Linked DNA regions of Lepisosteus oculatus. The protein of the gene in region 2 interacts with the protein of the main gene of each other region in a biochemical or structural test. Links are inferred from orthologs where the notes say so. Each region holds a gene or a part of one and is shown on either strand. Other genes may lie near its edges.

What was found.
Region 1: the proteins of sortilin (region 2) and bdnf form a complex in vitro, tested with the Homo sapiens proteins (2 studies listed by BioGRID and IntAct, with this or other methods). The link is inferred for Lepisosteus oculatus from reciprocal best matches to the Homo sapiens genes SORT1 and BDNF.
Region 3: the proteins of sortilin (region 2) and ngfb form a complex in vitro, tested with the Homo sapiens proteins (3 studies listed by BioGRID and IntAct, with this or other methods). The link is inferred for Lepisosteus oculatus from reciprocal best matches to the Homo sapiens genes SORT1 and NGF.

Annotation. Positions count from the first base shown.
Region 1 is NC_090716.1:3,157,272-3,164,483, forward strand, and holds the start of bdnf (brain-derived neurotrophic factor), read right to left. Parts: upstream 3,001-7,212; 5' UTR 2,437-3,000; coding exon 2,323-2,436; intron 1-2,322. UniProt on the Homo sapiens protein: Important signaling molecule that activates signaling cascades downstream of NTRK2. During development, promotes the survival and differentiation of selected neuronal populations of the peripheral and central nervous systems.
Region 2 is NC_090700.1:39,850,204-39,857,066, reverse strand, and holds the start of sortilin, read left to right. Parts: upstream 1-3,850; 5' UTR 3,851-4,094; coding exon 4,095-4,370; intron 4,371-6,863. Other genes in the region: psma5 (proteasome subunit alpha type-5), read left to right, coding at 508-594, 1,742-1,819.
Region 3 is NC_090700.1:33,083,030-33,090,754, reverse strand, and holds the start of ngfb (nerve growth factor), read right to left. Parts: upstream 3,001-7,725; 5' UTR 2,841-3,000; intron 1-2,840. UniProt on the Homo sapiens protein: Nerve growth factor is important for the development and maintenance of the sympathetic and sensory nervous systems.

The DNA.
Region 1 (7,212 bases), on a different chromosome or scaffold from region 2:
TATTTGTGATGTGGCGACTGGATTTTTTTCAAATGAAGCCAAATGAACGGCAATGAATTAAAGAAGTTCTGAAGCTGCCTCTTTTACTCTGTCCTGTCATATGAATGATATGAGTAAATGAAAAGGCATGCCTGTGCTTTTTTTTTTTGGTGCACCCAGTACAGCATGTACATTCTTTTTAAAAAGAATCCCCTTAAAACCTAGAGCTTACTCATCCACCTCTGCCAAATCGAGAGAAGGCTTCACACTCGAAACATTTCACAGCTCACGGTTTGCAAATAATTCTGGAGACTTACTGAAACAGGTTGTCTGCACAAGAACATCAGGTCTTAGCAAACCAAGCTGTTTTCCGCTACTTTTTAAGCAGTTCTGGGAGTTGTTTGCTCCAATTCCCATCAATTAGACACATTTATATTTTGATAGCGGTGGAATTCTGCTACACGAAAGGATTTGCTTTCTTGTATTAAGACCTGTTTTTAAATGACATGGTGAGCACAGTGATTCAGTCTCAGCAGAAAAACAATGCTACTCTCCGCAAGCACACTTGAATGGTAACATGTACAGTATAAGATTACAAGCAGAGCCGTCTGATGAATTACCCACTAAGTTCCTATGGGAACAGGACTGTAAATTCATCCTTTCCAAACACAGCCAAATTCCTAAATCACAAACTGAGGAGAGTGCAGATGAGATTCCCAGAAACGTTTTGAACTAGTGGGCTCTGGTGCAACATTTTCTTTTCCACTTAAAGAGCTCAGCTTGACGTTTTGGATAAACAGCAAATTCTCCTAAAAAAGAAAGAGAGAAAATAACTTCTACAACCCAGCCAGCCTGGATTCTCTGCAAGGTGTTTTTTATTTAATTCCAAGGACACAGTCCTGTTTCAGCGGTTTCACCAAACCTTATTTAATGCGCAATAGAGGCATGATAGGGATTAGCTGGTTAATTGGCGGAACTGTAGGGACAAAGCTGACAGACCCCTCTTTTTGGCAAGGAAAGCGCAAGGGGACTGCTGTAAGGGTGAGGATGGGGTGCGAGAGAAGATCGGAGAGTGGGCACTCTGGAGGTGAGGTCCTTGCATGCAGGGAAGCTGAGGTGGGTGAGACTGGGGTCTGACCTTCTACAGAACGTCCATTTAGAACTCCACATGCAAGAGTCATCAGGCTTCAGCAACTCCCCATCAACACCTGGGGATATGGTTATAGGCCAGTTTTCATGACTAGATCCCTCCTTGATCAAATTCGGGCCACTAACACATTCACCCTAGTGATTTTTCCTGCTCTTCCAATGTTTTAAACTGGAACCACACATATTCTATATACAAGCCATTCACTGTGCTTTACTACATTATACCATGTTTCCGTGAGCGACATTTTACAGCACTTCAGGCCAGGAGTTCTCTATCTTTAACCCGCTGCTAGAGAAAACAAACTACTTAAGTTGTCCATCTACTTCCTCACTGAAATAAAAACCCACAGAAAGTCAAATATGTCCCAGTGTAACTTAAGCACATCTTTTAATACATGAATTCTTTTCTTTTTCTTAACGACTATCACAGGGCACAGCATTAGAGGGAAAGAAAGGCTGTGCCTGACAGTTTAACAAGGCTGCAAATGTCACGCACAAGACACTCCACAGAAATGGAGGCCGTGTAACTCATTAGAATCCAATTGCTAGTTACTCCTCTGAGCTTTCTTCTTGCCGGGTGACTGACGCTCTTTTTTTATTTGGCTATTTCCTGTTTCAGTAAAGAAAATCAATAGGACTTGTCCTCAAAACTCTGATCCAGTTAAACCACAATCACATCCATGAACCACTGCAGTACTCTGGGGCTGCCTGTGATAATTCCAATTCGGGGGAAAAAAAAATACCCCAATACAAATACCTTTTCCTTAAATTTGTGAAATACAATTTCACCTGCAGCTGGGGTTCGGACGTCTGATTACGGCGGCTGACTTACAATTTTCTATACCTAGAGAAGGTCAATTTGGCGATTGTAAAAAGAATTACAGTATCAAAAAACGGTCATAAATTAGATTTAACACACCATGAATATTTGGGGAATCTATTTGTTTCAGTGAAGCTAATCCCCATTTAAAGAAAACGAAAAGCCCAACATTGCTTTATTTATACTCTATCTCCCAGAGCTAATGATTGCACAATTACACTGAGAAAGAAATGAAGGACAATCATTGAAGACACACAACCATTACCGTTTAATGAGACAATAATGAACTGCTCCTGCAACACTGGAATGACACCTTTTGAAATGAGGAGAGTGCAGAACAAGCCCACACACATTAACAGGCCTTGAGATATTACCTGGGTCACTTCAAATCTCCACGTCGGCTCGGTCTTGCAAAAGAACTTCTGCCTTTTTTTACCACTTGCGGTGCGTAGCTCAGCTTCCATTCCAGGGGTGGCACATTTCATCATTTATTTTTAAACATTACGCTGTCCAGAAAGGAGAAAGACTGGGAGACACCCGGCAGTCTCGGTGTCCTCTATTATAATCTTATTTGCCTATTTAAATTGCTGTGCTCTCTGCTGGTGAGTCTAGTTTCTCTCATTACTCTACAGGGGTGACATTCAGCTAAATTCAGCTCTGGTGCTAAGTACTCTTTTCCCACACGCTCCTTCATTTCCGTCTCTGTGCAGAAGGATGAGCCAGAAAGTCACCTCTTCACTTCGCTGGTTTTCTCCTCTTGCTTGGTGCCTGCTTGCAAGTCCCATGAAGGCGATGAGCAGGGATTAGGGGCCAGAGCAAGAAAAACAGAATCTGACTGTCATTTCAGAATGTGACCTGCTGACAAGTTGTGGGCTTTACATATAGGCTGGGGTCCGTCCTCTTCATGCCTGCTAGAGGGACTAGAAGAGAGACTGGCACTGCTAGATTAACAGATGAAAGGTAATTGCGCTATCATCTCTTCTTTTCAAGGGGGCTGCACTGTTTCCTTAAAGGATATATAGTGTCCTTTTAATCCCGAAAAAAGAGATTACAGTAAAGCCCTATTGGACCAATACAGGATTGCTTCCTTAACATAAAGCATATGGCAAAATGTTTCAATGACTTTTTTAACAAACACAATTGAATCCCTGCTCTGTGCCACTTCCATTTGCAGCACAATAATAATTGTTTCTACTTTAACAGCGTATCCAACAATGTGAATTATTGCTCCGGTTACCTAGTGTATAGTGCCTCCCTCTCTCAGAATTCAATGTTCTTGTCCACTGGTTTGTGTTTTAGTTTTCTTCCAAAGGTTATCTTGAAGTTAACTGATATGACAATCCAGACATGGCTTACATTAACCTCATTGAGATGTAAACCCTTCCTTGAAAACACTACAGTATAAAAAACACACAAATGCATGTTCATTGTCACTTCTTTCCAAAGAATGCACTTTCCTAAGAAGTTCTGCATTGCATAACCATCACAATCTTTCTCACTTCACTGAGATTGTACAAAAAAACAAATCAAATCTTCCTGGACAGAGAAGGACTGTTCTGTTTATTTTTTTTTTGGCTCTCTTAAGTTTATTTTTGTTCATCACTTCCAAAGTCATTGTAGTGACAGTCTTGATAATATCAGCAACAGTAAACTCCTAAGATTTTTTTTTTCAGTGACCCTAAGCTTTCTTGTTATCTGTGGAAAGGTGACTTCCAGAACCAGACTTGATGACTTCCTGGAAATGTCTACATTCCTGCAGATAGAAAATTAAGAATTCTGGAAGGTCCAAAAATCGGATCGTGCGTGCTACAATTAGGCTACTTGGTGTTTCCTGGAAAAATCAGGGACAAGCACCATAGTTCTAATGGAATGACGTTCTTTCTAAGAAAAACGTTCTTCAAGGAAAACTGAATGAGGCAACTCCATTCAAACTCATCATAGCTTGTTTATTGAATGCTACAAGAAACTGAATTGCGTTAAACAGTCAGGAGTGGATTCTGCAATAAAAGTAAATAATGTAAACAACCTTTCTCGACAGTTATTTAATGGAGTTTATAATGAAAGTTCGGGAGGTATTCCAACAGCCAAGTTCAATCAGCCTCAGCTGTCAGTAATTTGTAATCAATCCTAATGTCATTTCCTTTCCTAAAACACTATAAATACTGTATGTGACCCCCTTCTCTCCTTCTCTCACACACAAGGTCTCCTGCCTCCCTCTTCCCCCCCATCTCCCCCTCTGCAGCTGCCCCTGGGTCACCCCTCACTCTGTATGGGGGTCCCAGCCTCCTCATTCTCTGGCCAGGAGGTCAGCCCTCACCCACACAGGTTCAGCCGAAACTTTATTGTGACTAAACCTTAATAAACTCCATAAACCTTTCAATACGCTTGATTCTTGGGTAAGTGTTGTTATTTCTGTTGGAAGTTACTATGATACCGTCCTACTGTGCTGTAATGAAAGATGCAAAAATATGCAGAGATTTTAATCATGCTTAGAGTGCAATTTTCCTATTGGCTGCTAAGGCTAGCTCTGCAGGTCATGTGTAAAACTAATAAAAGAATCAACAGATGATGACACTGCCACTTGTTTTTTAAATTAGGGCTAGTGTTGATTTAGACTGGGTAAACGTTGTTTTGCTTTGTGCTTTCAAAAAACAGGTGTACGTTATTTCTCCATTTTTTGCTGTCAATGAGTGTGCATATGCATGCAGACAGATTTTTAATGTGCTGTTTGGGGCATCGCAGTTTCATATCCTTTGTGTGCAACACGATTTTCATATTTGACTCATGAGACCAGTGCGGTCAGCGAGTGTCAGGCAAAAGACACGGCACCACTAACACAAACACACTATGGTCTAAGTGGAGGGGGACTGAGCTCATAGCTCCCTTGGCTCCCTGCTCTTCTGTGGATTCATGTGGAATCAGACTTTCACAGTAAAGCAGGAATTCAAGTCTTTGCATGAAAAACTCTACGAAGGTCAATTAATACTTGCAAAAAAGAGAGAGAGACGTTTGGAAGCCTGCATTTAACTATAAGTGAAAAGCCCTTCTGTCCGACAAGTAACATTAAATAATCTTCTACCACTATCCTATTTATTCAATTCATGTATTTTTTTTAAGGACAAAAATATGTAGCAGCACTCGCCGAATGTCAATTCCTATAATTAACTAACCTGAAGTCATAGTTCTCTTCCTCTAGCTGGCCTGCTTAGCCATTCGCCTGTTTTCTACCACTTAATCCACAGCTCCAGAGCTGATTAACCAACCAGCATGTTTTTGGACTAAAAGGGGACATTGCAGCACCAGGAGAAAACCCACGTGAACACAGGGAGAACATGCAGACTCCACACAGACAGTCCCCTGGTTCCAGAATTGAACCAAGAGGACCGCGGTGTTGCTAGGCAGCAGTGCTAACCACTGGGTTACCCTTGCCTGCTTATCTGTCTATTAACCAGTATCCACTACTGCAGCGCTATAAAAACAATACTTGGGAAGTGTGCCAGAACCCTCGTGGGTCAGGAACGCGTTTCGCCAATAATCTGCAGGAAATGTATTTTGTATCTGCCGGGCCGTATAGAAACTCAGGAATTTGTAGTATATAGACCTTTAAATACCTGTAACTCGACGTATTTAAAAAAAAAACATCATGTTGGGCGAAAACAACCTTGCAGACGAGCCTTCTCTCCTGGTGCCAGAATAATAATAAAACATTCCCAATTTAAATGTTGTCCGATTACCATAATTGGGTCGGGTAGTACCGTGACGTACAGTAGCCAAAAAAAAACCGCTATTAGATTCCAGTGCGTTTCAGCAGGTTACCAGGTCGATTGGTGAATTAGATTCTAGTCACAACTCAATAACAAAAAAAAAAGATCAAATGCAATCTTTCCCTTCCCGTTCTGTACTGATCCAGAGAGATGTCATCTAATTAACCCTCGGATGCATGGTCTAGGTCTAACCTTCATTGTTCTCGAACTTCCAGGGCCGACTAGAGCTTTTATATATAGATGGATTCGAGCTGGAGTTTCCTCGCGGCTGTTGTGTATTGTGTGCCAGGAGCAGAGAAGTCGAAAGAATGTTCCGGCATCCGAAAGCCTCACAGCAATGCACCCTGCCCCTACGTCACAGCCCAGGTTTACGTGGTAAACCATACCTTGTGAAGGTACACATTTGTCTTGTAAATACTTCAGTAGCGAACGTCTCACGTCAGGGCCACACGACTAGATACCCTTTCTCCCAACGAGGCACAGACCCCGTGCTCCTGAGCTCACTCTGAGCGGCAGCGCTTTCAAAAGCACGCCTCGGCCCTCACCTGTTGGAGTGACCAATGAGCCATCTCTGCCCAATCAATAACCATGCGCACAAAAGGGATTTCGAACGACTTCAAAGATTTGCTTCGAGTGGTCAGAAATCCTCTTGATCACCTAACAAGTAAACGTTCTAACCTTGGTCACGAAACGGCCCCATGTGTACGAATTGCAAATATTTACAGAAAACGTGCTTTCTTTCCCGGTGCATTCTTAAAGGGGCAGGAAAGAGCCGGAGAAACCTGTCACTGCTACAATTCCATCCCCCCCGAAACACGTCCCAAAATGATTTCGCCTTCGGTCGTTTAGTGTAAACCCACAACTGAATCATCGTTTTAAAACGCTTCGGGTCCTCCAGAAGCAAAATCGTTATGTTGTTTTTTTTTTTTCCGGAAGGCTTCGCTACACTGGGAGTGTTAAGTACACGTCTGACAAATTAATGCGCATATACAGTACGTTTTGAGCCTCTCGGCTTCACTCTTTATCTCAGTGATTGATCGGGGGCAGAACTTCAATATTTAAATAGATTCAGTTTCATTCGTTTGGACGTGAAAAAAGCGGCAGATAATTACACAGTCTCTTTAAAAAATTCATGTACCGGGATAAAATTACACTCGCAGAGTCAGCTAATAGGCTATATTTAATTAATAGAGAAATGAGGGGGTTTCTCCTGAAACACCAACAATTCCTAGTGACGTGACGCAGAATCAGCCCTTAAGGCTGTTGGCCTTATTCACTCGGGAGACGACGAATCTCCAACCAGTTTACTTCGCTCTGGGCAACGTACGTAAATCCGTCAAGTGTACATTTATTCCAGCAATTCCATGAACGCCTGACAACAGATATGATTTAGTATTTGTTTAAAAAAATACACTTGTTTCAAATCTTCGGAAAATTCTGACACCTCTTTTGCAAACATCTATACTGCACTGAAACGAGTTAATTGAAACACGCCGGACA
Region 2 (6,863 bases):
ACTGGGATCTCCCCTGGTCTGGAGTCTGGCCTTTGCTGCCAGGGAATAGCTGTCTTCTGTCTGTGCAGCAGGGATGGTGTTGTAACAGCCCCCAGACCGCTGTCCTGCCCGGGATGAGTGTAGCTGTAACATCCAGGGAGCAGAGCTCAACCTTCAACAGCCCCGCAGCTGGGATTGATACCGCTCAACGAGACAGGCGGGCTCAGTCTCCTGGTACTGCCCCTCGTCAGTCTGCAGTCATGGGTGTCGCTGCGGCCTAGCATCCTGTCAGACTAGTGCGTTTACATCACATGCCTGTCATTAGAAACAGCATCTGACTCTTGCCTTGTTGTGCAGTGAATGGATAATCTCATTTTGATATTCAAGAACAAAATTTCCTTGTTTTTTCTTTTTTCTCCCCTTCCAAGAGATTGTGGAACAAGCAGAAGCAATGCAAATATCAGGATGAAAACCTGAAGCCCACAAATGTTGATCTTTTTGTGTTGTTTCATAAATTGTTTTTTCCAGTCGATGACTTTAAAAGATGCCATCAAATCTTCGCTCACCATCCTGAAGCAGGTCATGGAGGAAAAACTGAATGCAACAAACATAGAGGTAGATGATCTTCATTTCCTGATGATTTTTTACCCCCTGTATATCACTCTTTCCCTTCCAACATCCCTGAGATCCATCTTGTTCACAGATCCAGCCAGTTGCAGACAAATGCATTGACTTCCACCCAGTAGTCTCACAAGCCCAACAGCAGCTCAGGGGAGACCTGTAATATTTCTGGCCTCCTGTCCTGAAAGCCCTGTGCCCTGATGGTGGTTTTCTTTACCTTGTTGATCCCCGCCCGGTATGAAGTGCTGGGTTTATAAGATTGTAGTTACTGTCAGGCAGGTTGCAGTTTTTTTATCGGGGTTCACGTTTTTCAGGCCTTTAGTGGAATTGAATCCATGGTGTTTTAACATCTTCAGGTTTAACTTTGCATTTAATGCAGTCTAAAGTGATTTCAGCTGTTAGTTACATATTTGTTACATCAAGGACAGAGTACTGGGGAAGTGAGTCTAAGTTTTTTTATATTTGCTTCTGCTGAAGCAGCTTATTTAAGACCTTTAATTACTTCTTAATAGAGCCCACTGCTTTTGAAAGCCAGACACGTCTTCCCCGTTTATCTGCTTTGGAAGCTCAATGGAAATGAGAGGAAAGAAATGGAGGGACGCAGGACTCCACCTGCTAGGTTGAACGTGTTGTGCAGCCCAGTGTGTGCAGCTTTGTGATCTGTGACTCTGTATGAGTGATGGAGTACTAAACCTACCTCTCAGGATTGTGCGATATGTGAGAATCCTCCCCTGCTGCTGCTATTACCAAGTAGTGTTGATTATAACAAGTACTGTTGTGTTTGGCAGGCAGTTTCATCCCAGGAGACCTCCAGTAGAGCAAGCTACCTAATAAAATAGAATACAGCTTACAAAAATAGCGCTTGTTGTAGGAGGCAAAAAGCTATGAAATAGCGCGTACACAGTGTGTCCTAAAGAACATGCCTCACATTGCAGTTACTATTAGCAAAACTGACAGAAGCTCCAAACACACTTGGGACTGTCCAGAATGGATAATTACAGTTTTCTAAGAAATGCCTTCTGCGTGCACAAATGCATTTTGTCCCAGAGGGATATCAGGACTTTGGCCACATCATGTGGGCTTGTGGTTGGGGCTGTTTGGGCAGTCATCATAAGTATTAATATTGTTTTCTCTCCGACAGCTTGCTACAGTAGAGCCTGGGAAGACATTTCACATGTACACGAAAGAAGAGCTAGAAGAGGTTATTAAAGATATTTAAAGTCCAGCAAGCTGGCACTGACGGATTTTTAGTAGATCTGACTCCCACAACAGTCGAGCACACCAGACGTTCCTGGATTGCGGTGCAAGAGATGGTAACCAATGCCTTTTTAGCTCTCCTGAGACGCACACACAGTAATGCGGTTTCAGTGAATAAGCAGGAATCTACTGTTTGTATTTTTTTTTCTTCCTTTCTTTTGTGATTTTTACAAGTCTGTACATAATACAGCACAACATGAGAACTGGGACTAAAGGCAAAAAAAGGGGTGATGTGTAATTTTTGTTACAACTTGACTCAATAAATCTGTTGTATTCCAAAACATATCGCATACGTGACTCCTGGTCTGTTCCTTTGCAAGTCAGAGCACAATGTGTGAACACATTGGGTGATCTGGCAACTGTGTTGTCTTTGCATATCTGGACCTATCTGATAGACCTGCAAGAATTAAATATTTTATAATTCAGTCAGTATAATTGCCCAATTGTTTGATTCTGATAGATTGAAATGGACCTTTGTCCTTACCTTATTTATTTGATGTGGCACATTAGGAAAATACTGTACTACTTTGAGCCACTAAAAAATGTCTTTAGTGTTGCGAATCATTTTGTTTGCTGCACAAGGCCACCTACAGAGGAGATTTACTACCTCTCGTTAGAAGTTCCTGGTAGGTTAGTTTTTCAGTCTTTCAGTTTTCTGCCAAAAGTGCAACTGATGTGGACCAAAAGTTTGGCAGCACTACTGCTCATCCTGTCAAGAGTTTGGAAGGTCTCTGGGCCGCTGCCTGGTACAAACGTGGTACAAAATGTTCTGGGCTGAAAGGGCACACTGGGCGCTGGGTCCAAATGCATTGTTGCACAAAACCTCTACTAAAAAAATCCAGGTGGGAATTAAAGTGCTAGGAAAACGCAGTACAGTTAATCCGTCTTGTCCGTGTTCGTCCTGAGCTATGAAGTGAAGTTCTAAAGTGTATAACTTATTTTACTGCTGAACTGACCCGTCTGCAGTAGCGTTTACTTACCCGCCCGTGGACTGGCATGAAGCTGGCGCGGAGCGGAGCTGTAAGTGTTGAAACCCGCGCCCTGTGCGGCCACTATTGAGTAATTTAAGATATGCCGTTATTAAGTACCGTCGTTTTCTTCAGTTGCTTCGGCAGTCTCGATATTTTTCATGTCAGAGATTGACGCGACTGTGCAGAACAATAATGCATCATTATTTTAACAGTAATTCTGCAAGATCTGTCTGGCTGCTCGGTCACGTGACAGAAACCACAGCAGTAACGTACCACTAATTGCAATAAAGAGTTCCGAGGCGCTGCAGTTCAAGACCCATTCATAAAATGTACAAAGTTTAGGAAGTGTCTTAATTTTATTTTCCATACATCGGAGCAGTTTAACTTGGATGTCGTATGCTTTTACGACACATTTAGTCGCAACTCTGCAGATACGGTATACATCTAAATACTTTTTTAATCATTAAACCTCAGAGAATAAGTAGAAGCACTTGTTTGTGTCTGTTGTACTGTTATTGTGTGCTGGTCTCCGGTTTCAGAAACTCATCTAGTTAACACCCGTAGAGTAAGACTTGATGTTACCGCGGATGGGAAAAGCAAATTATATGTCTGAGCCACACTGCCTCTGACGCTGTCACAAATATCACGTTACTTAATCAAAATCACACACTTGCAATGTGATCTTTCGCAGGAGATGGGGGCATCGCATAGCCGCCAACCAACCTTGACTGCATTTTTAATTGTTGACAGTGAAGTTCGGGGATCACATTTCTTTCCTGATCCCTGTCGAGTGTAGCCAATGAGGAAAAAAAAGAATCCTCCGGCCGAGAGACGTCAACCAATGGGAACCACGTTGATAGGCAGATTTGCGGAGTGGGCGTGGCCTCTCAGCTGTTCAACGAGGTGGGGTTGAATCCACCAATGAGATAAATCACTCCCAAGTCCAAGGGCTGTACGTGTGATCGATAGCTGAATAGAGCCAATCAGCACCGGCGTTCAGCGTCAAAGCAGCCAATCGCTTAGCCGTCTGGGGGAGGTAGGTGGTGTGAAGTGAATCTCCACCCTCAAAGCCGCTTAACTCCTATGTGCTGTTTGGTGCTTGGATATCGCTTGCTGCTGGCTTAGTGGGTTGTGCGTGTTTACATTACCTTTGTGGTTTGAGAGGGACCGCTCGCAAAAACCGGCCTGGCATTTATGGACGTTTTTTTTAAATAAAAAAACATATATATTTTCAAGCGCTTTCGCTCCCTCGCCTTCCCGTGAACGATGCGCCTCCCGATCCCCCGCAGCCGCTGCGTGGTGTTCTTCCTGTTCCCACTGGCGCTGTGCGTGGATTTCCGCGACAGAGCCAGCCGCGGGGTGCAGTCCACGTTCGTCAAGACCGGGAGGCTGGAGGATGTCTTCAGCTTCCCCTGGCCGTCGAGCGCGGAGTCGCCCGGGGGCTCCGGGCAGCACAGGGTGAGCCGGAGGAGCGCGGACAAAGCCGACAGCTGCAGAGCCCTCCAAGGATACGAGTCCAGGCTGGGCAGCAACACGCACACCGTGAGTAGACGACGGCTCCGGCTGCTTGGCTGTCCCCTACCCCCGTGCCCGCTGGAGGCTCGGGGGGGGCATGCTTGGATTCACAGCCGACGCGCACGGTGTTGGTCCGGGGTCCCAGCTGCCTGGCCGGGCTCCGAGCTCGGCGCCGGGGAACGGAACGTCCTGGTACTCTCCCTTCCAGAGAAAACACTTCTCCGTCCTGTTGTTCTTGTACTCCAGCCTCCTCAGGCATTTCCTTAAACCGGGGACTAGTAGGGTTAGCCCAGCCAAGCGCCTCTCCGCAGCCTGCCCTCTGTTTTGTTTCTCGCCGAGGTGCGTGTCATCTCAGTTCTCTCGTTTCACGGCGCGACACTAGTAGTCGTAGCAACGTCAATATTCTGCTCTCTGGAGTGCAATGCAAAACAAAACCAAAAAAAAAAAGAGCGGTGTTATAACACTAAAATGATCCCGTCTCGCCCAGTGGGTAGCTCCATCCTTGATTGTGTTTGCAGGTTCGCCCCCCGGCGGTTCAAGGTGCGCTTAACCTTAAATTCAAGCGCTTGCAAATGAGGTATTCAGTTCCCGCTGTGCAATTCGCACTTTAAATTCCAGATGCTTTATGTTTCCGTTTCTTTTTTGTTGTTGTTGTTGTTCATGCATATGGAGATGCGGTGTCGCTTGTTTTTGAAGTGTCCCGACACCATCAACGGATAGGGGAACAGAAGTGATACGGTAACCTTTAATAATTTATCTAGAGGCGGTGTTCTCGCAGGTGGCCCCGTATCCACAGACGAGCCAGGTCTCGGTGTGCCGCCGGGGTTGTCAGTGTGTCAGTACCGTGGTCTGGCTCGGCTCCGTCCCGAATCTTGAACTGTGTCGGGGGGAGTCGGCGATCGCCGGATGTTCAGTCCCGGGGGTGGAGTGGGAGAGACGGATGTTAACTGGGAAGGACGCAGCGGGCACGGGAGATTTAAGGGGCCAAGTGTAATTGACACGCCGCGCCACTCGCCGAGAGGTAAAACTCTTGGCCCGCCCGTGTGTGGCAGTGACCGGCTCTGCTGCCTGTGAGGGCAGGGCAGGGAGAAAGCTATAGCCCGGCTTGTTTGCCCCCACACCTCGCTGTGAAAGTGTGTGTGTGGCTATAGGCGCTGCTGTATTCGAGTGGGATATTAATGGAAACGTTTTAGGAGCGGAAGCGCTGTCGACCACAGCACAGTACGTCTTTATAAATGTGTAATATATGCAAAACGTTCGCTATTCCCACGACACTCTATTTCACAATTGCAGCACCGACCTGAGTTGCTTCGGTTTGCAGTAATTGTTATTCTTAATGGGCTTTAAGTTTCGAGGGTCCTTACTGACACTGATGTGTTGTGATGCATTGAAACGGAGTCCTGCCCTGCTGGAAAATGTTGGGGATCCCTGCGCTATACCGAGAAGCCCTGCCGCTCTCTGGTCAGTAAATAGGACAGCACCTTCCTAACAGACAGGCCCCTGAGTGTCAGCCAGGATTATTACCTGACTTGCTGGTTTTGGTGACCAGGTGAGTGTACGTATGATTTCATACGTGTGACCTTGTGGTATAAACAGCAGCTGACTGCAAACCGGGGCTGAAGACAGGGTTTAGGTGTCTTTAAACCACAACCACCCACAAATCGGATCATACTGAACACCTCGCTCGAAGGTACAGCTGAACCCTGTCCAGAGGGGAGAGCTTTCCAGTTAAGAGCCCCGGGCTGTGACCACCACCCAGCGCCCTCTCCATTCCTCCGCTTCCTGCCTGGTGGGAACTGATCTGCTGAGGCACTCGTTAGAGGCTGACGAGAACTCGGGAGAAATCAAAATAACACTTTTGATGGCGTTCCTGCGGGGTCAGACTTTTGGCTTCGCTCACGGGAACAATCACAAGACCTAGACCTGACTATCCCACAAATTTCAGAGAAACGAAAGCTTGAGGATTAACAGCCTGCTTCTCGTGAACAAAGACGGCGCTTGAAGCAGCCTGTTCTCTTGAGCACGAGGGGCTGTTCATGGCCTGGGCGTGAGTGAGGTCCGAGCCCGGCGAGATTTCGGGGGCGTGTAGAAACGAGACCCCCAGCTTCGACTCCCCTGCGGCTTCCTTTGCTTCCCCGGCTCCTCCGGTGAGGTGGGCTGGTTCAGGGAGCAAGCCGGCGTGTTGCTTCGCCGTGTCCTCCCGGCACCAGCCCGCAGTGAGACGCTGGTCCTCGGCACTGGGCTGCGACAGGCTGTGCACTGTTGGACAGGGACAGGAATAGAACGGAGCCTGACAGTCAGGCGCTCGAGACACAGCAGTGCTCTGGGCTGCCTTTGGCTCCGAGTTCGCTCAGCCCTGGGTAATGGGGTTGGTGCTGGGCACTGTCACAGGCAAACAGCGGTGGAGCTTATAATCCTGTCCCGACGCTGTGACGTGTGTGGTCAGCCTAGTGATTCCATCTGATATCCCCTGGTCTTGACGCGCAGAGCCCAGTCAAGTCCGCTGCTCTTGTGCGCAGA
Region 3 (7,725 bases), about 6.8 Mb from region 2:
ATTTCAATTGACATTAAATTGAGCAATTAAACAGGGCCAACACAATGCTTGAATATATTATTAAACGTGTAGAATTTACATCAAGGGGAGCCATGATAAAATTATATGTTCCTGTAGTTATTCTTCATTTGGAAAATGTCTTTGATTTTGGTCTTAAGCCAAAGACAGAAATTGCTGCACTAGCGGCAACACAAAGAGTAGAACTCAGTCTTACTCCTGGCCTGAAGTTACTAAGGCAGACTAAAGGGAACTGAATCTTTTTAGACTGAAGAGCATGGTAGGAGTTGATTTACTGTATGTACTTAAATTCCTGAGAGTCAAAAAGCCAACTTGGGAACCACCTTCAAGGCCACCAACAAGAGGACTTGGGGACACAAGTGGAAAATAAGATTAGTGGGATTTTAGAGCAAGATGATTATGGGAGTCTGGGACCAATGTCCAGGACACACTGGAAGATTACACCTTAGGTATCTTTGGGACAAAGTTGAATTGATTTTCTAAAAAATTAAAGCCAATAACAATTAAATCAGGGAGAAAGTAAAAAAAAAACCTCTCATATGCATCCTAAAAAAAAAGGCTAATCATGATGCATGTATTTAAAATTAATACAGGGAATTGCTGTAAAGTAAATTATTTGAAAAATGTGGTAAAGCAAAGACATTTTGTTCTAATTATTTTTATTTAGATATACATTACATTAAATGTATGACAGAATTATAGCTCTGTAAAGAAAACAAATCAGTCCTGTTATTTAGTACATCTGCCATAACTGTATGATGTTTATACAGTTATTTTCCAACTGTACGAAAAGAAGACTTGAATACTTGTCCATTGAGCTCGGTTTGAGGTTTTTCACCCTTTTTCTTTTTCACACTACAACACCTCCATGCTCAACTAGCAACTTTTATGTGCTTTATGCTTTTCAAACGCTAATCCAGGGATCAGCCGGAGGAAGCCTTGAGGCTGTGACTGCAGAAAAAAGGGGAACGTTTATTTAAGCTGCCTGCAGCCAAGACCCCAGTCCTTTCCCCTGGCAAGCAGAGGTATCTGTCAACAGGGTTTGGCTTTTGACCCTATCTCTAAAATGGTTTGTGGAGGAAAGACGTACAAAAACAAAGATCAATCCCAACAATCGAAGAGTAGGTGTTCTGCAACCATATCTTTTCAAAGAGTGTGCAGCCTATGTCAACTGTTAAGTCATTAGTAAAAATCAGCTTCAATAACACCTTGGCTGCCCTTTGATCAATGAAGACAGAAAAGCCATAGAAAAATAAGAAGGTGCTTAACAAAACACAGATTAAAAGGGCAAGTACCTTTGCCACACTTTTTCTGTGCTTTTAGAGAGCTCATTAATGCTGGTAAGTGGCTTTATACTGTATGAATACTTACGGAATGTTTGTGGAGTGAGTAAATGTGTGCGTCACAAGTATTTAATTGAAAGGGAAATTACACCTCACTCACAAATAACTGTGTGCACATGTACGGGGAAGAAAACTGCTGTGTTTCTTGTTCACTGAAGAATAACATTACTGAAGAATTAAACAGTTATCTGTATGTTGTTTAAATGCAGCCTGAGAAAAAAAGAACTTTTCTCTAAATCCATTTGTAAAACATTTTTTTTTAAGAACACTGAATTAATTTCTACTTTAATGTACCTTCTTCATTTAGATTCGTATAAGAGTATATAATATGTAATACAGTATATACAAATGGAGTATTAAAGGCTTTTATGCTCTGTAATACCGTATGTACTATTCAAAGTGTATACTGTATAAAGTAAACACACTGAGAGGCAGTAAGAAAGCAACAAGTGCTGTTGATTCTTGCTCTTTTTTCCTTTAAGTATATTTACTAGCAATGCTACAATGCTTCATGTTTATAATAATGACTGTACAATAAAATAGATTATTTCTGAAGGTTTTCTTTTTTAACATCTGAGTTTTTATAAACATTTGAGTTTTTGTAGTTCATTCCTTGAAAATCTTCAGTACAGCAGGAATTTGGTTTATTTTAAATTCACTAAGGTTACAGTTGGTTTCACTTATGGATTCTTTTCCTGAAGTTGCAATCAATCTAGCTTCTTTCTAGTGCTTTCTATGCCTGTACATTTGTGAAATTCTTTCTTATTTCTGTCCGAGCTAATACTTTTATTATTTCTTAGTAACACACACCAAATTATTATATATAATAATAGTAATAGATTTAGTGTTTTACAAGTCCATGCAACATTGAAAAAGCCATCATTTAACTGTGGTTTACATTTAAGTTGTTTTACTAGTTGTGTAACATGAGGTGTGTATATATTATCTTCAAAAGAAAGAATGAAAAAAGTCAATGATGATTGCTGTAACCTGATGACTTTAAACCAGGGGGGCTATCCCACAGGGTATCAATGAGTGGCTATTTCCCACTGAAGACTTGTCCATGCAGCTCAGGTAGGTACTGTGGCTCTTAGAGAGGAAATTGGGCAGCTGTAAACTGCAACTATTCATTTAGGACCTGGCAAGTTGGGACAAATAAACATCTGAAAAGGAACATGTTCACTTCTGTCTTTAGGGGGGTTTGGCATTAAATATGACTGACAGACAAATAATTCCCTGGAGGGGCTGCTGAACTTTTGTTTTTAAGTGGACTGCAAAAAAAAAATATTATTTGCTTTACTTCATATGCCTTGCTTTTTATGTAATTACAGTACTACAGTACAGCTACAGACGTTCTGTGATGACATAATCTATACTTTCCTTTCCGACAGGTACAGTATCAACACAACTGTCTCTTTCACCAGACTTCTAAGCACGCGACAGAAGAATGAGAAAACAGCAGAAAAAAAAGTTTCCTACCTCAGACTGTTCTTTCCCTGGCCAAGTGTAAAGTCCACAAAAGCTTAATTCCACCTTGCACACAAGTCCACAGGATTATTCCCAAAAGTCACTCCAAGTTCCTCTTCTTTAGATTTAAAAGCCAGGTTCTGCCATTTACACTAGCCTAACTCCTACACTCTTTGAGAAATTGATTGTACTGAAACTTAGTCAGAAAGCTCCCAGTATCTTTCCTCTTAGCAGACAAAACCTGTGGGTCCTAGTGCCTGCCTAGCTGTCTCCAAAACATCACAGAGAGGGAAGTGAAGGAAGAGAGCCACTTGTTTTCTCCTTCTTGCTAATGTAACAAAATTCAGAGTCTTTATTGAATGTCAGAAGTTTGCTTCTTTTGCATTGCTCATTCAAGTGCAGACTTCTTATAAAAGTCATGCCTTAGTGTGAGACAACTAACAATAAGTCACTGGTCACTTTGAGTCACTTCAAATGAAACACTAATTTCCATCTTCAGCCTATATCCAGGATAAAAAAATCACAACAAATCTATCCTGTACACAGATATATAAACTAATGCATTAAACGGGGTGATACAGTATGTAAGGTCACATCTTTTACGTTTCCACAGAAGGAGAAGCACAGGTTGGAGAAAATTATTATCAACCCAAGGGAGGAAAGGATACTGTATTAACCTAAACAATGTCTTTAAATCACTACTGAGGGATGGTGACCAGCATTTGAAAACTCAACATTTTTAAATGCCGAAGCATTTACAGTATCACTGGTCCACTAAAGGTTATATTTTTATACTAGGTAGAAGAAAGGTTATAAGCATTTCCTATCCTTCTGTTTGCCAAGGAAATATTTGTCTGCAATTTCCGTTCTTGCGATAAATTTTTTTTCAGATCTTATTAAGTTAGAGAATTTAATTAGAATCTTTTAGTAGCAATCCTTTTAAGGCTTTTAAGCTTTTTTTTCCTGCAGCTTTCTGAGAAACATACAATTCTAAAACTGCATAGGTGCTCCCAAGACTAATTTCAGATTTGCTGTTCTTTGCAGAGTAAATTACTTTTATTGCTTCACATAATGACTAAGTATCTTTTCCTAGTGTACTTTCATTGAATAATTTACATATATATGGCAGATTTATTTTGTTGTGATATACAGTATAGACTTAAAGACTTATACTAATATTTATGTATAAAAGATTTCCCCCTTGTTTCCTAAGAAATCCCATAAACTTTGCACTAGTAATGTTAAAGTGAAGTTCTCTCAAGTATACCTAGTGAAGGTTCCTGGCTTTTTTTTATGTTATCAGGATGCATACTGAAGTTGAGGGATGGGGTGGCAGCAATTTTACACAGATTTTAGAGTTTTTCTCTGAAATTATAAATTATTCTGCTGTGCCAGCAGCTATATCACCCTGCAACTCACATCTGGCAACCCACTGAAGCTCAGCAGGTGTGAGACTGGTCAGTACCTGGATGGGAGACCTCCTGGGAAAAACTAAGGTTGCTGCTGGAAGAGGTGTTAGTGGGGCCAGCAGGGGGTGCTCACCCTGCGGCTCATGTGGGTCCTAATGCCCCAGTATAGTGACGGGGACACTATACTGTAAACAGGCGTCGTCCTTCGGATGAGACGTAAAACCGAGGTCCTGACTCTGTGGTCATTAAAAATCCCAGGGCGTTTCTCGAAAAGAGTAGGGGTGTAACCCCGGTGTCCTGGCCAAATTTCCCATCGGCCTTTATCAATCATGGCTTCCTAACAATCCCCCTCTATGAATTAGCTTCATTACTCTGCTCTCCTCCCCACTGATAGCTGGTGTGTGGTGAGTGTTCTGGCACACTATGGCTGCCGTCGAATCATCCAGGTGGATGCTGCACATTGGTGGTGGTGGAGGGGAGTCCCCATTACCTGTAAAGCGCTTTGAGTGGAGTGTCCAGAAAAGTGCTATATAAGTGTAAGCTATTATTATTATTATTCTGAAGGCTAGAAGTAAACATTTAATGATTCCACATTCTGACCTTAATGAATGTAATCTTTTCACAGAACAGGCCTTTAGCATTTGCTTTTGTGTCATAAACAAGTTAGAAATTAGTAGGGTACTCTTCTGAGCTGAAGAATGGCACCATGCCCCCGCTGATCAAATTCAGCACTAGCAGTACAGCCACCTGTAGAGCAGTAAATGCTGAGAGCTGCAGTGCTCATCTTGACCACACCTGCCTTTCAGAGAGCAACACTTGTCTCACGTAACACAACAAGCACACTCAGGGGAAACACCCTGCCACTGTGAACGCTTACCAGCCCGATCCAAGGGATATCACTTTCAATGCCTTCAGCAGTGCATGTATCCAATTCTTTGTTGTTGTTATTATTTTAAAATTACACAATAAATATGTATTACATACAGTAATTGTATTATAAAATCCAACATAATCTGATTATATATTAGGGGCATTACTTATAGGAGAAATAAAAAAAAAACCTCTCCCTATAAACATTTTCACTAAGTGCACTTTCACTAAGAAGGAAGGGTCTGCATCTGGCAGATAATATTTCTGTTGTCACATCAATTAAATATTTGCTTTGAAAATGACTTCTCAATACATAGAGGATTTGCCTCCCACTCCCTGACTGTTCCTCCTCCCATTCTTTACATGAGATTTGCAGTTTGTTCAGCTTTTGGAAAGTTTTCTTTGCAAGCAGTGGTGCTAAATGTTTGCACTGCGTGATATCCCTCTCTAATAGGTTTTCCGCTGAGTGCTTCTATCTGCATTCTTCTAAGATACAATGGTATGTTTCCTCACATGGAAACAGTTCTTTTCAATCTGTTCAATAAATATATTTGGTTTCGTTTTATTTTAATCTTTTAGGTTAGGGCCGGCTTGTATCGGGCTTATCTTTAATATATCTATTTCAAATGTTTTTACTAGAAGCACGGACAACAATATAAACTGGAGGATGTTTAATGACAGCAGTGTCCCAGGTGTTCTGTACATTATGTACACAGGTGAACATAAATGTGCCTTAATACATTCGTCCACCTGTCTAAATGCATCCCCCATACTGTCCACTGTTTTAGTCATCAGCTCTTGTGTGTTTCATGCTGTTTATTTTACAAGCATTAAACATATGAAATTTGGAACACAGTTTTAAATACATTAATATTATAAAGCTTATGATGTATCATTGTCATATAGTTAAGATGTAAAAGAACCTTTCTTATGACAGTATAAATTATAACACTCAAATCATTTCTAAGGGATCTAAGGGATTTAGTTTTTTTTTCTTTTCATTATTTATTGTGATATTAGTGGTTTTTAAAGTTGTGTTTGATATTTTTTGTACTTCTATTCATTTTCTCCTTCTACACAACATGGGAGAATCCAATGTGCCATTTTAACACACACAAAAAAAATCCCTATTCTGCAAGATTTGTGGTTTTTCCCAAATTTTTTCGTGAACAAATGTGAAAACATTTTTTTAACCCACTTTTTGGGTGTGAGTGGCCTCGTCAGTCACTTGCCATTGTTGACAAGCCACTTGGCTGAGAATCTGAAGGACAACACCTAACCCCAAGGGCACTCTCACCTGTCGCCCTGGTCTGAGAGGCGCTGGAAGTAAGGAAGGCCAAAAAAAGAGTAAGTTTTGTAAAGAATTCCGAATATTTGAGGTGTTTTGTCATCAGTGATGCTACGTGGCCAGAAACAGATATTTAGAGTGCTATGGACAAGCATGGGATTTTGTCTTAAGGTGGGGAGCTGCGTCAATGAACCACAAGAAAAAGGCTTGGCTAATTCTAAATATGGACTCTTTAACACGCACACAGGGTAGAAGATGTTCATGAGGTTTCTTGGACTTTCGAAGCCTGCCTATGCAGGCACAGTGTACGGCAGTAAAACCCCAAAACTACTTCAGTGTTTTACGATGAGCATCTGAAAAAAAATTATCTTGTTTGGCAGCCCTTTCTGTATTTGTTGGATATTAATGTTGTCCCAACACTCTATTTACAGTACTGTAGAGCTGTACACATACAGTATACAGTGATGCATTGCCTTCACGATCTTTGTATTTCGAATTGGAACCCTTCTGAATGAGCATACTTTATAGTGGGTGGTTTTCTCTTTCTTTGATTCCTACATTCTTATTAGTTTTTATCACTTTGAGATTCTGGCTCTGTCCTTTGTTTCATAAGTCACTTCTCAAAAAACAAAACGGAAACAATTTTCCACAGAAATAATTACTTGAAAGCAACAATTATGTACCACTTAAAGTTGATATAAATGAGTATTGGTCTTGTACTATAAGTGAAGAGCTGTTTGTGAAATATAGATTATAGTACAGCTGAACTTGTTAACAACAGAAATCAAAAAACAGTTTTAAAGGAAATTCAGAGTTTAGTGAAGGAATCATAGTATTCATGTATGCACTGAATTGCATAAAAAAGCTAAGACTGTTTAGATGATTTGGCCATTCCATCCCATTTGGTCATGAGTAGATTAGTGAACTCCTTTGAGATCCATCAAAGTGCTTCATACACGTGATGTTGAGTTTGTGTTTAATCTCTTGCGTTGCTGCAACCGCCTGGATTTATTGTTATAACAGCGTTTAAGACCCTGATAAAGCAGATGCACTGGTTCACTCCCTACTTCCTAGGCAGTCTCAAATTTCAGTCCCACCTTTGGAACCTGGAGTTATCATTACTGTATCCCATTGAGAGTGCATCTGGCTTCCATTTGGCAGACCTCCTAAGGTCACAATAGTATGTGAGTCAAATGTATTAACGGTTTCCTGGAGGACTAAGAATCTTTGAGAGGAAAAATCAAAGCATGCACCTCTGCTATTTTTCTATTATGTAACGCTATCTGTTTGGAAATTTAGCACATGTAGAATAAGAAATAGGTCTGGTGCC